3 linked regions of the Canis lupus familiaris genome follow. The protein of the gene in region 1 purifies or fractionates together with the protein of each later gene. This does not show direct contact. Links are inferred from orthologs where the notes say so. Each region holds a gene or a part of one and is shown on either strand. Other genes may lie near its edges.

Evidence for each region.
Region 2: the proteins of RNGTT (region 1) and PPP4R3A purify together in Homo sapiens (affinity purification with mass spectrometry; 3 studies listed by BioGRID and IntAct, with this or other methods). This does not show direct contact. The link is inferred for Canis lupus familiaris from reciprocal best matches to the Homo sapiens genes RNGTT and PPP4R3A.
Region 3: the proteins of RNGTT (region 1) and SUPT5H purify together in Homo sapiens (affinity purification with mass spectrometry; 3 studies listed by BioGRID and IntAct, with this or other methods). This does not show direct contact. The link is inferred for Canis lupus familiaris from reciprocal best matches to the Homo sapiens genes RNGTT and SUPT5H.

Annotation. Positions count from the first base shown.
Region 1 is NC_049233.1:48,159,525-48,162,666, forward strand, and holds the end of RNGTT (mRNA-capping enzyme), read right to left. Parts: coding exon 2,993-3,142; 3' UTR 501-2,992; downstream 1-500.
Region 2 is NC_049229.1:62,651,110-62,654,609, reverse strand, and holds part of PPP4R3A (serine/threonine-protein phosphatase 4 regulatory subunit 3A), read left to right. Parts: coding exon 1-234; intron 235-3,500. UniProt on the Homo sapiens protein: Regulatory subunit of serine/threonine-protein phosphatase 4. May regulate the activity of PPP4C at centrosomal microtubule organizing centers.
Region 3 is NC_049222.1:114,552,066-114,555,565, reverse strand, and holds part of SUPT5H (transcription elongation factor SPT5), read left to right. Parts: coding exon 1-44; intron 45-271; coding exon 272-365; intron 366-457; coding exon 458-594; intron 595-1,053; coding exon 1,054-1,209; intron 1,210-1,305; coding exon 1,306-1,452; intron 1,453-2,276; coding exon 2,277-2,423; intron 2,424-2,509; coding exon 2,510-2,635; intron 2,636-3,499; coding exon 3,500-3,500. UniProt on the Homo sapiens protein: Component of the DRB sensitivity-inducing factor complex (DSIF complex), which regulates mRNA processing and transcription elongation by RNA polymerase II.

The DNA.
Region 1 (3,142 bases):
CTCAAGGTCTTTTGGTTATAAAGGACTATACACATTGTTCCAAATGGCATCATTTAAAAATGAAAAATGGCAAATTCCATACTACAAAAAATCAGATAGGTCATTACTTCATTACTTTAGAGTATTTACTGCTGAAAAAATTAAATGTATTAAAAATGATGTAACAGAGTATCTACAGGGTACTAAGATGATGAGGTGGACAAATAGAAATACTACAAATATCATTTAGAGATGGGCTTTCTCCCCGCTCCCCTACACTCCAAAAAGAAAAGGTGCAAACTATACTTCCCATGTCACTTCAATTTCTTGGTTTCTGGGGAAGAAAAATAGAGGATGTTCCAAGTCTTTATGTTAATTCTAGAATGCAACAAAACCAGATGGATAACATTGGGTATGGATGACAGGCAGGATAATGTCAGCAAAAGAAAGGACACAAAATCGTTTGTTAAATAAAGGGACACAAAGGCATCACCAGCAAAACAAAGTAGATACGCTTTCTGTTATTTTAAATCAGTAGTTTTATTACAATACACACTGACACACAATTAGAGAAGGAATGTCCTGACATTTTCTGAGCATTTCACGGAAAGCAAATGTAACCATCCAGGCAGTCAAGTCATCCATATCTTTTCCAAATTCAAAGCAAAAGCTTTTATATTTGATAACTCAGGAAAGCAAAGTTTTCTTACTGTTGTCTATATAAAACTTCAGTGTCAGAAAATGGTTATTGTGAAGTGGACTGAGAAGGGAAGAGTTTCTGTCCTTCTTGCTGTCCCAATTCCTGCCTCTTGATTTCCCCCCTTGACTTTCTAGATGACTTTTTATGATACTGCAGATGATAGTGTGTTAAAGGGGCCAAATGGGATCTACTTATTAGGTCGGCTATTATACTTCACTGTAATTGAAAGGAAAGAACAAATTAAGAAAATTAAATCCTGGAAAATGCACAAAGGCAAGGAAAAAATATCTGGGTATATTAAAAATGAGATGCTCTTTTCACATAACTCATTTAAAAGGTTACAATTACCATAAACATTTTAACTCCACTGAAGATCACTGGCAAAAACTAGCTCTTATATCTGCAGAAGGACTGTGCATTATACAGGCTTGGAAGAAAACAACATACCATGTGAAACGAGTCACTAATCCTGGTGAAGCAGGCATCAGACTATTTGGAGTTGCATAGGTGTTTTTTCAGACCCACTCTGTACAAGACACTATGGAACCTTGACAAATTTCCACCTTTCAGCAGTCATTGTGGCAGTCAGGTATTTGAATCCCTTTAGTACCCAAACTCAAAAAAACACTCTAGGAATGAAATACTAAAATGACATTCTGGATACATTCACTACACATTACATAACTTGGAAAGAACAAAGGAAAAAGCCCAAGCATGACTCTAATATTTCATATAGAAAAGCGCTGCAGGAGAAAACTTTGTTTAAAAACATTAAAACTCAGGTGAATATAAATACATTTTTGGTTAATCTGTGCTATATCATATATAGAAATCCTGTCAGATATTCAGTCTGCTGGGTAACTCATTTGCATTTTTCATGTCTGATTGTTATTAGTAGAAGAATATACATTGATGCATATACTGACATATATATGCATATATATATAAAATTTAGATCATGAAAATTTGTTTTAAATACACATACTTAAAACCTGTACCTCTAAAAATAAATACATTTAGCCTCTAATAGGCTAATTCTCAGAGTTTCCTTCACAAACCAATCAGAACACAGCTTCTCAACAATGGCAAATAACCAATTAGCTGCTCTTTAAATCCATTATCTATCAGTAAATGTTTTAAAATTCAGATGTATAACAGAAATAGCATCCCCAGCACAGAACATAGATAGAATTCTGGCTTTGAAAATAAATGTCTTGGCTTCCTTGATGTTTAGTTCCTACAGATGTCTAGGCTTTGCCTCTGCATTTATCTAGCAGTGGGAGAGCATTTTCTAGTGACAGCATTCTATTCCATTGGTATTACCTTCTAATCAAAGGAGTTGGCTGGCATTTCCTTTGCTGTTTTGTTCAAGGGAACTAACACAACATCGTTTGTATTTGATATCATTCCCCATAATCACAGTGAGTTGTGTGTTTTAATGTAATTTACAATGTGCCAATACCACTGAGGTAAAGCAGAAGTACCCCTGTCTTTTTTAAAAGAAAAAAAAAAAAGTCTCCTGGGAGAACAACACATAAAAGGGACCTGGTGGTGTATATCTAAGTTCTATGAACTAACTCAAAACCACAGCCAGAATAGACACATTGGATATCTGATATTTTAGTTCAAAGAATAGAAACATGAAAATACTCAATATACTTCTTTAGAAAGTATGCAATTCACAAAAATGGGGCTTTACTTTTTTACTCTTACATTTCAAAAAAAAAAAACTTCTTAAAATGATATATGCCAGACCAAGTTGTTTAATATAGTACAATACTTAACAACCTTGTCATTTGTTTTTGAATACAAGAATCTCAGAAATGTAGGAAATCCATGATGTGATAGCAAGAATGTTTAATGCCATTGCCTATTTTTTTTTAAAGGAAAATTTACCATTGTTGAAATTCAACTTCTAAAAAATACAATGTTTTATGCGCTCACAGTTCCAGATTACTAACTTTATAAATTAAAGATAAAAGTTATCCATATACAAACAAGGCCTCTTTTTCATTGATTTCAATCTCAATTAAACCTTTGGATATTTTAATCTTCAGATTCACAAGGTAAGGCTGAGTTTATCAGATATAAATAAAATGTTTAAGGTCCACGATGTATTGTAGCACTGAGGAAACAAATGCATCAAATATTTACAGGCTGGCTACAATACTTCTCTTTTTAAAAAAAAAAAAAAATCAAATGTGTATCAACATCAAGCCACACTCTTTTTCGAATTTCTCTGGCTGCAAAAATGGGGCAACAGCATTTTTTCTCACTCATTTTTCCTCTCAATCCTTAAGTCAGAGGCAGGTCTTAGGTCAAAGGGCGAGGTCTTTTGGGAGGTGGTGGAGGCATGAGCTCTGTGTCAGGGTCCAGATGATGCTTTCGCTTCTGTCCTTGAGAAGCTGCTGCACATCTGTCGATGAACTCAAACAGCATCTCCTTGGTGACAGGGTTGGAGAT
Region 2 (3,500 bases), on another chromosome or scaffold:
CCTGCTTTATCACAACCACGAAAACACAGGGAATTTCTAACAAAAACAGCTAAGTTTAAAGAAGTGATTCCCATATCAGATCCTGAGCTGAAACAAAAAATTCATCAGACGTACCGAGTTCAGTATATCCAGGATATGGTTCTACCTACTCCCTCGGTCTTTGAAGAAAATATGTTATCAACACTTCACTCCTTTATCTTTTTCAATAAGGTAGAAATTGTTGGTATGTTACAGGTGAGTTAGATCTTTTTCCTACTTACAAAGATACCTTCTTGATCCCATTAACTGTTAGCAGTAATCAGTTAATCTGTTAACTGATTTAGCAGAAGGAATTTCTGTTCCTTTTAAATACCTAAATTGAGTTTTGATTTCTGTCTAAGGGTAAGTTTTTGGTTGATATTAGAAGAGATTATAATATATACTACTGTGGGACCAGAAGGTTGTTAGGTTTCCAGCAGGGAACGTAAATGTGATAAAGAAGTCTAGCTTGGAGAAATTAGAGGGAATGAATGTTCTTAACAAATGAATGTAGAATTTTAGGTATATTGATATGTCAATTATGCATAGAGTGGATTCAAAGAGAAAGGTATAATGAGACAAGAAGTATGTCATTAAATACAGAATATAAATCTGTAGAATTGGTAGCACTGTCAGATCATTAATATTAAAGGTTTAGTTTTAGGGTCAAGGGAATACAGCAGATATTGGAAAATTATAGTTGCAGGTCTCCTTACCAAAAGGCATGCTTTTGTACCAGATGAGAGTATGGGGAAGTTGGATGTGAGTAAGGAGCTATGGCTCTTGTTATTTAATAGCTATGTGACTTGGGCAATTTTCTTAACCTTTTAAGAAGCTTTAGCTTCCTGATCTGAAGGATGGTGATATTAGTATCAACCCTGTAAGTCATCTGAAAATTAAAGAAGATCATGCATGAACACAGTGCAAGACTCTTGAGCATTATTTTGGAGCACCCATGTGTGCAAGTGGAGGTGGGGGGAGGAGTAGAGGGGGAGAGAGACACACACACATGCACACTTTTAAGCAGGCTGCACGCTCAGCATGCAACAACCCTGAGATCATGACTTGAGCCCAAATCAAGAGTCAGAGGCTTAACCCAGCTGAACCACCCAGGCACCCCGAGGATTATTTTAAAGTATCTTTTAGTAATTGCTATATTACTGAGCCTGGGTGACTCAGCGACTGAGCATCTTCCTTTAGCTCAGGGCGTGATCCTGGGATCCAGCATTGAGTCCCACATCAGGCTCCTTGTGGGGAGCCTATTTCTCCCTCTGCCTGTGTCTCTGCCTTTCTGTGTCTCATAAATAAATAAATAAATATTAAAGAAAATAAATAATTGCTATATTAAGCTCCAAATTTTCTTTCTACAATATGCCCAGTCTCTCAGGTCTGGTGTTTTTGTTTTTGTTTTTCTTAGATTCATTCATTCATTCATTCATTCATTCATTCATTTATATTTTATTTTATTTATGAATGATAGGCAGAGACACAGGAGGAGGGAGACTCGGGACTCGATCCCGGGACTACAGGATCGCGCCCTGGGCCAAAGGCAGGCGCCAAACCGCCGAGCCACCCAGGGATCCCCAGGTCTGGTGTTTTAAGGGTGCTTGTATCAGAATTGCCTAGGGTGTAGTTTCCTGGATTCTGCACAAAACACAGCAATCAAAATCTGTGAGAGCTGGCCAGTGATCTGCATTTGTAACATTCCCAAAGTTAGAAAACCTCTCAGTATATTATCCCATAGTGTAGGAATTAGTCTGTTCTAGCTGAAATGGAACTTTGAAGTTTGCATGGTGCAAAGATTTGTGAGTTGCACACCTCACCTCCTCATGTTGTTTATTTCTTGATGCTAATGATATTGGAAGAATAACAGATGATATGACTTGGAAAGACTTAAGACCTTACCTCAGATCTACAAATAAAGTAATTATTTGAAACCTCGATTTAAATAAAAGAGGCAAATAAATGTCAGAGCTGTTTGGTAGGACATGTTATGAATAAAGCAGTGAGTTTAATTTGTGTGGCTGTTCCTTTTTAGAAAATTGCTGTATTTTCAGAGTCCTTGCCTTTGTCATCTTAGAAAAACCATGAATTCAAATAGAAAAATCAGTTTTACCAATACTGTTGTCCTGGAGCTAGGAATAATTCCTGTTCATTTTGACTAATTTGATGTGGTTCCCATTCATTTAAGACTGACATGTAAATAAGTAATATAGGCAATACAGTCTGGTAAGGACAACAGTGATCTCTATACAGTGTATTATGATTGATAATGGAGGAGAGAGGTGATTCTGGTACTTTCTATTCTTTGAGAAGCATCTAGTTTTTACTGGCTACCTAGTAGAGCCTCTGTTCTGGTCCACTTTTGATTCCTGGTTTCCTTGGATAGTCCTGAGTGCATCTGGTCCTTAAGCTCCACGTGGTTCTCATTTTGTTATGCAGAGATTTGTCACTTGTGTGGTTTCTTGGTCATCATACCTGTTATATGCCAGCTTTACTCATTAAATATGAATAATTTCAAGTTGTTAAGTCTTTGTTTCCCCATATTATGCTTTGTGAATCCTGGCTGTCAATACTGTAGTTGTTTCTCTTGATGCAGGTACTTATATCCAAAGTGCTGCTATGAAGGAAAGAGAATTTTATAAATTTGTGATGATGGGTGATTGAGATAGAATTTAAAGCAGACTCTTAGCCCCCTTGTGTACACAGTCATACCCTCCCTTTAGTTTTAACTGCTCTGTATTTAATACTATTAAAAATTCTTTTTTTAAAAAACATTTTTATTCTCTCAACTTCTGTAGCCCCAAATGCAGCAGTTCAGAGACTCTTTTTCAGTCTTTTGATTTCCAGTTGGTGGGATATATTATATCTGGGATCATCTTGAAATTACATGCCATTTGAGGTATGGCTTATTTGTACATTTTAGAAAAAGTAAAAGTAGGAATAACCAATTTAGTATCACAGAAAATATTTGCTAAGTACCTGCAACAGTGAAGATGGAGTTTATAATCTAGTGGGGGATTACATACACACATAAACATACATTTATATATACATATATATATTTAGACTTAGGCATATCTGTAGGGCTGAACTAGTGTTGAATCTATTACTAGCTGAGATAGTATGGTATTAAAGTATAACACAATCTTAAAAATAGTAATGGAAAAAAATTGAACAGATAGGAAGGTGTCTGCCACCTCCTGTAGTTGGTCTTTGGGTAAATGTCTTAACTGTCTCAGTTATAACATTTGAAGTTCTAAGTTCTGTATTGACTTAACCAGATTAGTATCCTAGGAGAGTACCTCTTTAATCTTTTTCAAAATAATGCATATTGTGTGTGTCTGTATGGCATATCTTCAAATAATAAGTGTTTCTTTTAAAGCTCTGCATTTAGCTTTTTAAATAATTGAATCATTTTCTGTGTCTTTAAAATGTGAAAGAAGCTTTATCTTAATTTTTACCGTCTTTTGAGAGGTGGG
Region 3 (3,500 bases), on another chromosome or scaffold:
GCCGGAAGGGTTTTCTCTTCAAGAGCTTTGCTATGTCTGCTGTGGTGAGGGTCCCAGAGGGCATCTTGCTTACCATGGTGGGGTGCAGGGAGGCCAAGTCCAGGTCCCAGAGCAGTGGGTTATCTGGGTCTCTCCTGCTTAATCTGCTAAGCCGTTAGTGTAGGAGTGTCCCTGGGGAAATAAATCTCACCATCTCACTAGCCCGCATGGCTGGGCTGTGACACTGACCTTCGTCTACTTCCTCCTCTTCCCTTTGTCTCTTGGGGCTCAGATCACAGAGGGTGTGAAGCCAACGCTCTCCGAGCTGGAGAAGTTTGAGGACCAGCCAGAGGGCATTGACCTTGAGGTGGTGACCGAGAGCACAGGTACTTGGTCCCTGTCAGTAGCTCAGGCCTCCAGAGGACGGGGTGGCTTGTGGCAGGCAGCCCTCACATCAACCCGGCATCTGTCCCTGCAGGGAAGGAGCGGGAACACAACTTCCAACCTGGGGACAATGTGGAGGTGTGTGAGGGTGAGCTCATCAACCTGCAGGGCAAGATCCTCAGCGTGGATGGCAACAAGATCACCATCATGCCCAAGCACGAGGACCTCAAGGTAGGTACCACACGGCCCATATGTGCGTATTGGGTTGAGAGCATGGTGTCATCATAGCATAATCTAAGCTGGCTGCCTGGTTTTAGTTTGCTTTAAGGGTGTGGGTGTCTGTGTCTGTCTGTCTGTTTTGAGAGTTTGTCCAGGCTAGCATGATGTGTCTGGGGTGAGGCTTTCTCTGGCTAGGTCTGAGGAAGTGTTTAGTCTGTGTCGTATGTTTTGGGGGTAGGCTTTCTGTGTGTGGAGTAAAGGGGTATCCAGGCTGATTTCCTGAGTCTGAGGTGAGCTGTCTCTAGGGCAGTCTGAGGGTTGTGCAAGGAGTCTGTGATTGGGTAGTGTAAGTCTGGAGTGGGTTTTGGCAAGGTCTTTTCTGAGAATATGAGCGGCTTCTGGAGATGGGGAAGCAGGTGGGCCATAGTAGCTTTTCTTGACCTGCTCAGTGTCCCCATACCCAATCCCCAGGACATGCTGGAGTTCCCGGCCCAGGAGCTCCGGAAGTACTTTAAAATGGGGGACCACGTGAAGGTGATTGCTGGTCGATTTGAGGGTGACACAGGCCTCATTGTGCGAGTGGAGGAGAACTTTGTTATCCTCTTCTCTGACCTCACCATGCACGAGGTAAGTGGGGGACTGGGGTCGAGGTGGAACGTGCCTAATGAGACCCAGGCTAAAGAGCCACTTGGACCCTGCTTCACCCTTTCCTGTTTCCCACAGCTGAAGGTGCTCCCCCGGGACCTGCAGCTCTGCTCAGAGACGGCGTCGGGTGTGGATGTGGGGGGCCAGCATGAGTGGGGGGAGCTGGTGCAGCTGGACCCCCAGACCGTGGGTGTCATCGTGCGACTGGAGCGAGAGACCTTCCAGGTGTGTGTGTGTTGTACTCAGTGGTGGGGCCTGCCTTCCTTCCTCTCCCTTGAGCTCCTCATCCTAGGGAGGTGGCAGATCGTGGTGGCTAAGATCCACACTGCTCTGAGTGGCAGATCTGACTCTGTCAGCCGTGGCTGGCTGTGTGGTGTTGGGCAGGTGGCATGTCATTACCCTCTCTGTACTTGTTTCATACCCTGTAAAATGGAGATATCGGTATCATGTATTTCGTTGAAGCCCTGAGATCAAATATTGTAAACACAGGTGCTTGCTCAAGGGCTGGGGGCTGCAGGTGCTCTCCTTTCCTCCATCTCTTCCCAGTGGACGTGGGAGTCAGAGTCCTAATGCTTAGGACCCTGGACTCTGGATTCATATCTTGGTCCTATTGCTCCATGCTGTATGACCCTGGGCTCGTGACTTGCCCTCTCTGGGCCTGAGATCTGCCCCCCCGCCCCCTTGTAAAATGGGAATCATGACCACATCCATCTCAGAGGGAAGTTTTGAGGCTTCAGTGAAATGTTGTGTGAAGAATTTAGTACATGACCTGGCACACAGAGATGGGTAAAAATTATGTTAATATTTACTCCTTTACCCATTTTTCAGGTCTCTGATGGAGTGTCTTCCCAAAAGTGTTTTGAAATGATTGGGAACATTTTTATTTGATGCAGTGCCTCGGCAGCAGTGTCCTCAGAGCCAAGGAGGCTAGATTTCCGCAGAGCTTGAGATGGTTTCCCACAAGGAAGGATCATTCCACCTTAGGAAAGCCCTACTCCACTTCGCTTCTTTCTACTCTCACAGCTCAGCATCCCCCCCTCCCTCCATAGGTGCTGAACATGTATGGGAAGGTGGTGACTGTCAGACACCAGGCTGTGACACGAAAGAAGGACAACCGCTTTGCTGTGGCCCTGGACTCAGAACAGAATAACATCCATGTGAAAGACATCGTCAAGGTCATTGATGGCCCCCACTCAGTGAGTATAACCTCCTGCCTGTTGACCACGCCTGAAATTGCTGGGGTGGGCATGGCCATGAGAGTGACCGTCCTTTCCCCACTCAGGGCCGGGAGGGCGAAATTCGCCATCTCTTCCGCAGCTTTGCCTTTCTGCACTGCAAGAAACTGGTGGAGAACGGGGGGATGTTTGTCTGCAAGACCCGCCACCTCGTCCTGGCAGGGGGCTCCAAGGTGAGGCGGGTGTGATGGCCTCCTGGCTCTTGGGTTCCTGGCTCAGCTCTCCAGCCTTCTCTGGCCCCCGCAGTGACAAGAACTGGCTTGTGGAGGGTTAGGAGAGCGGATGTCAGGCTCAGGTCATTGGTAGAGTTTACTGGGATTCTGAGCTTTTAATCAAATCATTCATCCATTCTGTTTTATTGAGCACCTGTTAGATGCCTGGCACTGGAGATAGAATAATGAACAAAAAGTCTCTGCCCTTCTAGAGATGCTACCCCAGAGACGAACAGATCAATATATACGTACATCGTACAGTGTGAGGTGATGATAGGCAATTGAAGGAAGGTTAAACAGGATAGGGAGAGAGACAATGGGGAGAGAATAACGGGGTTGCTGCTTTAGATGGGGGTCATCAGGGAAAGGTGTCTTTGATGTGACACCTGAGCAGAGATCCGAATGAAGGGGCCCAGAGCTGCCTGTCTCTGGGGAGCAGCAGATACAGGGGCTCTGAGTTAGAACATGTAGGAAAGCTGTGCAGAACCAAGTATTGGAAAGGAAATCAGGCCCTGGATCTGGGGAGCTGGGACCAGGAGGTGGTCCTCACAGCCCTAAACATTGGGCTGAGAAATTCTCCTGATTTGCAGTTTTTAGGTCACCGGGGCCATAAAGTCCTGGCCAGGGGAGGACCAGGCCTCTTGATTGACAGGCCCACACTGGCACAGGGGTGGTAGTTTCCCCAAAGGGAAATCGAGGCATTGTCACTAGGAGTTGGGAGAGATGGCTGCCAGGCTGTTCAAGCAGGAGGCAGGCAGTGGCATGGGGGCCAGGAGTCTATCACCCAGGCCCTGCCAGCCAGTTCACTTCTTGTCCCTTCCCTAGC